Coturnix japonica: one gene and its partner. The protein of the gene in region 1 interacts with the protein of each later gene in a biochemical or structural test. Links are inferred from orthologs where the notes say so. Each region holds a gene or a part of one and is shown in the gene's direction. Other genes may lie near its edges.

Region 1 (3,941 bases):
ATTAGCTTCACTGTTTTCTTTACAGGACCACCATTTTGTGTTCCTGAATCTGAAGTTAAAAGCCTGTTTGGTAAGTAGTACTTCAGCTAACACTTAGAATTATTGTTTTGGTTTTTTTGTTTGTTTGTTTTTTTAAATTAATTAATTTATTTTGCAAAGCACATATATGTATTTGTGTGCTTCTACAGCAAGTGATGGAGTCATCTGCTTACATTTTAGATAACATATTGAGTCATGGACAAGTAATAAGTGAAATAAATGCTGTGCTGTCACAAGGCTTTTGCTGTTAATGCAGCTCTTGAAAAGACATGAGGAAAACCCGGGAGGCAGGCGCTGTCTCTTTCCTTCCCTGGCATCCTTTTGCCCTCTCAGGATCCAGATTGCACGTAGTGGCCTTGTAGCTTCAGTCCTGTTTGACCATTTCACCTTTCTCTGCACCTCATCACCTGTTTTTTATGCAAGGCCTTTGGATATTGGTTTTACCATTTCTGCTGTACTTTTGTTGGCAAAGAAGAAAATTAAAATGTCATGCTACAGAAATGCTAAATGTACAGCTCCATCCCAGTAAAAAGATAATGTTAGAATTGTGGCAGGTATTTAGTTTTGAACGTTCTTCCTGATATCCTTTGACACTGCACTTTTCAATGTACATCTTTCTGAGACCTCTGACGTGTCTGTGTGCAGTGAGTCATTGCTATGGACAGTTGCATGCCAGTGCAGTATAGACAGGTAAGGTTTCCTCAGCTGATTTGTGTAACGCTGTTAGGGACCAAGAGGAGCTCTGTGCATAGGATTGTGTTTTCTGATGTCTTACTTTCTTCAGTGACTTTCCATTCTTTGACCAGTCATTCGTTCTTCCTTTTCAGGCAGCCAGTGTGAAATTAAATGTCTTCAGAAAGTCAGTGACTTCTCAGACAAACACAAGCAGTGGGGACTAGATTATTTTCTGGAAGTCATGTATCTAATAAAGTTTGTGGCTTGATTGAAGTAAGTTTAAAATAACATACCTCCTACCTTTTATGTTTGTCTGATGTTTTACATGTTTTGGGGCACTCTTAAAGCAGGCTTCAGGGTACAAAAAACGCCTGCGAAACATTTTTGTCTGGATGATTTTACTTTCAGAATCAGCTCTGACTTCACAGCTGACTTCCCTGCCTTCAGCTGTGCATAGCTTTTCTTTGCCCCGATATAGGGCACCGTCCTTGGAGGTGTTCAAGACCAGGTTGGACGGGGCCCTGGGCAACCTGATCTAGTAAATGTGTATGTTTGGTGGCCCTGCCAGGCAGGGGGGTTGGAACTACATGATCCTTGAGGTCCCTTCCAACCCGGGTCATTCTGTGATTCTGTAATAGCAGCAGCACCGTTACGGCGACTTGGAGGCTGGAGGCCTCAGCAGGGCCCCGTGCTCCGGGCCGCACCGCCGCATCCGTCCCGCAGGGGGCAGGCGCCGTCCCGCTGAGTCCCGCCGGGTCGCGTCGGGGATGGCGGAGGCGGCGGACGAGGCGGAGCTGGGCCTGGTGGAGTGCCGGGTGTGCTTCGAGCGGTTCGGCCCCGACGGGCAGCGGCGGCCGCGTAACCTGCCGTGCGGACACGTCCTGTGCCGCGGCTGCGTGGAGGCGCTGGGCGGCCCCGAGCGGCGACGCCTGGAGTGCCCCTTCTGCCGGCGGCCCTGCGACCTCGGCGAGACCAGCGACTGCCTGCCGCTGCTGCAGCTCTTGGAGCTGCTGGGCCCCGGCGGCCTCAACCCCTCGGCCCTCGGGAGGGCGGCCGGCGGCCCGGCCCCGCCGCGGCTGCAGCTGTCGCTGGGCGGCTGGGGGTCGCTGCTGAACCCCACGGGGGTGGCGGCGTGCCGGAGCTCGGGGCGCCTGGCGGTGGCCCACGACGGCAAAAAGAGGATCCACGTCTTCGGGCCGAGCGGGTCCTGCCTGCAGAGGTTCGGGGAGCGAGGGGACGCGGACAACGACATCAAGTACCCGCTGGGTGTGACGGTCACGGCGGACGGGCACGTGGTGGTCACCGACGGCGGGGACCGCTCGGTGAAGGCCTTCGACTTTGATGGGAGGGGGACTCTGGCTGTGCGGGAAGGCTTCTGCCTGCCCTGGGGACTGGGTGCCACCCCCGAGTGCGACGTGATGGTGACGGACGCCGAGGCTGGAGCTCTGTACCGCCTGACGGCCGACTTTGGCAAGGGGGAGCTGAAGAAGTGCCAGCTGGTCCGGTCCAAATTAACGTGCCCCAGAGGGGTGGCGGTCTGCCCGAGCTCGGGTGCTGTTGTGGTGATAGAGCACCTGAATACTAAAGGACCAAGCAGCTGCAGCACCCGATTGAAGATATTCAGCGCAGACATGACTCTCATTGGCCAGATGGATAGCTTTGGGCTGAACCTCGTTTTCCCCTCCAAAATATATACCACGGCTGTGGCCTTTGACAAAGAGGGTTGCATCGTCGTAACCGATGTCTGCAGTCAGGCTGTGATATGCCTGGGGAAACCTGAGGAGTTTCCCATCTTTAACCCTCTAGTTAGCCATGGGCTTACTTATCCCATAGGACTAACTTACACGGCAAACAACTCCCTCGTTGTTTTAGACAGCGGTGATCATTCAGTAAAAATATATAGCTCTGCCTGAGTGGGCTTAGATGTGTTCAGCTATTGGTTTGAGCTGCTTTTGGCTACAAAGTGTGTGCAGTACTTGTGTTCAGAGGCACACAGGGAGGAAGTATTATTCCCTGGGCTTTGTGTGAAGTGAAATCACCCTCTTAGACCAATGTACTGTACTTCCCACAAAGTGTACACCAGATCCCATGTATAGCAGGAGACAATGTGGCTGCTGCAGACTGAAGTCAGCAGTGAACCAAGCAAGCGAGGAGAAATGGCAGCTTCAGCTCAAGGCCAGTTGATCTAGCCATGATCAATTGTAATACATGAGCTATCAGCATTTAGTGATTCATATGAAGTGAATAGATGCTCAAAGCCTTTCTGTTTTCTTCTCCATACTGAGAAAATGCACTTATTTGTATGCATTTCTTACCACCTCTTCAGTGTTTTACTGAAATGCTAACACTTCCCACATAACGCATGGATCCATCCATATCTTCACTGTGATGTATGGTTACTGGCATGGGTGGCTTTCCCTAAAACCATCTCCAAGTATTTGTGTTTAGACCACAGGTACTTCTGCATCTACAGAATAGAACTGGCCATGTTAGTAACACAGGTACTCTTGAGAGATTTCCAGTACTGCCTGCGTCTGTCTTGAAATCAACATGGTACTTCTGTACCACTCTGCAGCATTCAGTCGAAACTTTGAATGTTGGAGGGGAGTAATAAGGGCAAGGGGATGAGAGCCTTGCCATTTCCTAGCCTACAAAAAGTATTTTGCTGGTAGCAGATAGCAGCTTAACAACTCTTGAAAACAGTTTTGCTGTGGATGTGAGTTCTGTTGCCTTATTACACCACAGAAATCCATGTAAATTTAGAACAAAATAACACACCTACTAGAAGTCACTGCTGCATTCTAGGAATTCCAAGTGCTTCTGAACTAATTACTTAGTGCAGCACTAAAAGGGAGTTGCATATAAATGTGTCTTGTGCGGTGGAGACAAATAGATTAACGTAAAACTTTTATGAAGGTGTATTTATTGACTGAAAGCATGCATATTATCTAAAGCCATTTCGAATTCATGTGTAGTCTTCCTGTTGGTTAACATTTCATTTGGCATTTGCTCTGACTTCTTGGCCATTTAATAACTAACTACTTATAATACTGTATGAATAACATATACCAATTATTTCAAACTGGAGCAATTTTGGCCCTCAAATGATATATTAAAGCCCTCTTGTATTAATATCTTGTGTTCACATTTATAAAAGCAGAGCAAACAAGAATATTAAATACAGCTATTTGTAAAGCTTAATTGAAAAGTGGGCTGGAGGTCAAATA
Region 2 (4,085 bases), on another chromosome or scaffold:
ATCTTGAACACCTCCAGGGATGGTGACTCCACCACTTCTTTGGGGTTTTATGTAGACACAAGATGCTTTTAGGACTACTGCCACGCTTGAGGTAGAAAATCTAAGTTTACCATCGCTCTCTGTACTGCCCTTAATACTAAAATGAAAGTGTATGCTACAAGGGTAGATATTTGATGGATAATTATGAGACAGGTTGCAGGTAACTTGACTGTAAGGTCGAGCAAAAACAAGGATTAAAATGTGTTGCTTTGTTCCACAAAAGCAACAGGGCTAGGGGGAGGGCTGCCAGAATCCCCTTCACTTTGGTTATGTTTGGAACAGAGGTGGCATATCACTTACAAAAGTTGAATTGGGATCAGTGAAAATGAGCTCAAGCATTCTTAAAAATACATTTGGCAGTACATATTCTTCAGTGTGTCATCGCCATCGAACACAGGAAACAAGCAGCCACCTTTTGAAGCAGGATTTCTTTTGACTCACTGAAAGGCCTTCATCCTGTTCCCAGAACTTGACCTAAATAAAGTTACTACTTCTCTGTTTCTGTCTTTAAACGCTTCTGAAATGGGTGTATTCAGACAAGGACCGTCCTATAAATGGTTGGATCGCATCCTTTCCCTCAGTCTTTGCAAGCCCTGAATATTGCTACATGTAGGAGCTGCCAAATTACAGCCAGAAGGGCAAGCTAGAATGCAGGCAATTGAGAGCAGCAGAATTGTTGAAGAGCTGTCTACCACCTGCTGCCCCCACCAGTCCCTCACATTCCTGGTCTCACCATGGCTGGCATCTCCCTGCCTACAGAGGAGGTATAACTGTCCTGAGCACTAAGCACGTTATTTGGGACCAAACCTTGAGGCTGTTTGTAACACCGCAGGTATAGCAGTGATTTAATGAGGTGTTTGCAGCACTAAATTAAGTCTCTCTGGACTAATTGCAGCAGCTTCATTGAACAAAGCAGTAATGCTCGCTAAAGTCAATATACGTAACGAGCAACCCTTTGCAATCTCAGTTCATTAGTTATCTGCTGGGATAATAGTCACGGATGCACTGAATAGCCCGAGTTGGAAGGAACCCACAAGAATCACCCTGGCTCCACACAGCACCTCCCAAAATCAAACCTTACGAAAGCAATGTCCAAACACTCCTTGAACTCTGACATTTGAGGCCGTGCTGCCGAGCAGCCCATCCCATGCCCTCAGCGGGCAGCCAAAGCGAGGCACAGCCCCAGCCGGAGCGCCCCGCCCGCCCCGGTCCCCCCTCCGGAAGTGAGGGTGCGGGGCGGCCCCTGGCGGCGGCACGGCTTCATTCCCCCCACCCCATACCCTGCCGCCTTCGGCCCGGTACAGCTCGCCATGCTGTTCCGCTTCGGCGTGGTGCTGCCGGCCCGCATCGCAGAGTGCGGCGGTGCGCTGCTTGTGGCCGGCTCGCGGCCGGAGCTGGGCGAGTGGGACCCGCAGCGCGCCGTGCCCATGCAGCCAGCACGGCCGAGCGCAGCGCTGGCGGCCCAGGAACCGGTTCTGTGGCTGGGGGAGGTGCTGCTGCCGGACGAGGACACAGCCAGCCCCTTCTGGTACAAGTTCCTGCGGCGGGAGGGCGGCCAGCTTCTATGGGAAGGTAAAGGCGGGGCTCGGGCGGAGCGGGGTGGGGCTGGCAGCTGACGCGGCGGGCCGGGCCAGGCAGGGCTGCGGGGGCTGCTTTTCTCTCTTGTGTTCTTAAGAGCTCAGTTACTTTAGTCAGTTTCTACGAGCTGTTGTTGTAGATACAGAAGTATGAAGCTGTAAATTCTGCCCAGGGAGGTGGTGGAGTCTCCTTCTCTGGAGATATTCAAGACCCGCCTGGACGCCTACCTGTGCGACGTGGTGTAGGGAGCCTGCTTTGGCAGGGGGGTTGGACTCGATGATCTCTAGAGGTCCCTTCCAACCCCTACAATTCTGTGAAATTCACCTCTCCTCACTGAGGAAAGGATCAGACTTGGTGAATAGAAGACGGATGATTAAAGAATTCACCACGTTTTTATCCAGTTTTGTAATCCGTGTAGAGAATAGCACGTTATAGAGCAGTTACTCCTCATCCTTTTTCGGGGTGTGTATTTAAGCAGCCAATCTCAGGTTGCCCAGAGGTGGTGGGAGCTCAGACCTTGGAAACACTCAAGGTCAGGCTGGACGGGCTCTGAGCAACCTACTCAAGCTGTAAGTGTTCTTGTTCACTGCAGAGCAGTTGGTCCAGATGGCCTTTAAGGATCTCTTCCAACTCAAATGATACTATGATTCTGTCACAGGGAGTGACAGGTTGGTGGCTTGTGTCCTGTGTCTTGAGGGGAACTGGTTCCTCTCGGTAGGAGGATGAGGTGGGAGAGGAGGCTGTTGTTTCCCCAAAGGGTCAGATGCTTGCAGTGACCCGAGGTGATGACACTGATGCTGGTGCTCACCTGGGGCCTGTGCCTTAAAGCCATCGGGCCCTTTGGGCTCACATTGTGATTCCTGCATGTGCTGTGGTCCAAATAATGTTTCTTTGGCAATGGTACTTTGCTTACCTGCTGTGAGTTCAGCTGAAAGGCCTGAAATACAGGAAGATTAAGTGTGTGATATTTATCAAAAACCAGTTAATGATGTTGAGCTTCAGAGTCTAGAAGAATTTTACCCAATAGAATAATAAGGGAATATCAATGCTATCTTCTTTTCAGCAACATCCTTTCTGTATTTCTGTAATCTGTTTTTGGTGTAGATTCTTTAGAACTGGATTTATACATCTCTTTCAGTCTGTGGTCCAAATAAACTGTAGGTACTATGCAAGATAAATGTTCCACTGAACAACAAAGGAGATATTAAGGGTATGCCCCAAACTGTTCTGAGATGATGCAATATGGTCTCTTGGTACCTGAGCTTTTGAGGAGGGGAAAGTAAATGTTGATCCATGTTCACATAACAAACATTACTTTGGGGGCAGATGGTTCTCTGTGGTTCCTTGGGAGTCTTCAGTTCAATTTAGAAGCAGCCTCTGGCTGTGGATGTTGACCTTGGTATGGTCCATTGTAGGGGATTGTGGCTCAGTGTCTGTGTAGCTTCTCTTTATTTTGGCTTTGGCTACTAATTTCGTAGATTAAGTGGAAAGGGAAATTTGTTGATTTGTTAATAGTTTGTTTAACGTTTCTTCAGCCCTTTTAATGGAGCTGCTTTATGCAGCGTTGCTCCCACTGGGTGTCGCCATTTTACCTGTGTATAGCTGTGTACAGCCAGGGGCTGCTTCTCTTGCAACTGCTCGCAAATCTCATCAGTATTTAGTCCAGCATCATCTGTTCTGCTTTTGAAAATAACACGGGGTTTTATTTCCTTCCTCCATTCTAGTCCTGTTCTAAAGAAGATAATGTCTAGGAAGGAACAAAAAGTGCAGTAGGATGTTGATAGCTGAATAATTGTGTGAGCCTGTTGCATCCTGTGTGGTACTGGGTGCTCGAGAACCTTTCAGCTGCGAGGGAACTTTGCTATGAGCAAAACTGAATAAGTTTGAAACCTGCTTCTGAATACAGCATAATGAATGGAGAGAAGCTTTTGTTTACAAAGTACAGTAGCTCCTGGTCTTCTGTTCTTCAGCTCCCTCAGCACATATAATGACATGATTAGTAACAAGGTTTTTCTTCCTTTCTGTCTGTATGTCAGCATTAAGCAACTTAAGCTGAGCAGTCGACTGGAGATGTATAAAGCAATGGAGAGTTGCCCGAGAAACTGCAAAATTAGAAGAGTGAAAATAAGCATGTGCAATGGTATTTGCCAAATCCATACACATGAATTGGACAGGTATGTGTCATCCCTACCCACAGTGACAACTGCAGGGCAACTCTGATTGCTGTGAAAGGCTATTAAACATTTGTGGTTATAATGATGAAATAAATGTATTGATTATGCAGATGCCTCACTTATTGCTATCCACTCCTTCTCCTCACTTCTAAGGGACAGCAGAATTTAGTATGGGTCAATAATTTATTTTCAGTGTTGAAAAGCACTGAGCAGTAGAAAAATAGGTAACTGGGATAATCTTTTGATTAAGATTTTGCCATAGTTACAGTCTAGATATAGTTTGTTTCCTGACTT

The links. The genes of interacting proteins can lie anywhere in the genome.
Region 2: the proteins of NHLRC1 (region 1) and EPM2A form a complex in vitro, tested with the Homo sapiens proteins (3 studies listed by BioGRID, with this or other methods). The link is inferred for Coturnix japonica from reciprocal best matches to the Homo sapiens genes NHLRC1 and EPM2A.

The regions. Positions count from the first base shown.
Region 1 is NC_029517.1:68,538,946-68,542,886, reverse strand, and holds the start of NHLRC1 (E3 ubiquitin-protein ligase NHLRC1), read left to right. Parts: upstream 1-1,135; 5' UTR 1,136-1,481; coding exon 1,482-2,627; 3' UTR 2,628-3,941. Other genes in the region: TPMT (thiopurine S-methyltransferase), read left to right, coding at 26-70, 867-982. UniProt on the Homo sapiens protein: E3 ubiquitin-protein ligase. Together with the phosphatase EPM2A/laforin, appears to be involved in the clearance of toxic polyglucosan and protein aggregates via multiple pathways.
Region 2 is NC_029518.1:41,848,280-41,852,364, reverse strand, and holds the start of EPM2A (laforin), read left to right. Parts: upstream 1-1,275; 5' UTR 1,276-1,349; coding exon 1,350-1,611; intron 1,612-3,653; coding exon of another isoform or gene 3,654-3,791; intron 3,792-4,085. UniProt on the Homo sapiens protein: Plays an important role in preventing glycogen hyperphosphorylation and the formation of insoluble aggregates, via its activity as glycogen phosphatase, and by promoting the ubiquitination of proteins involved in glycogen metabolism via its interaction with the E3 ubiquitin ligase NHLRC1/malin.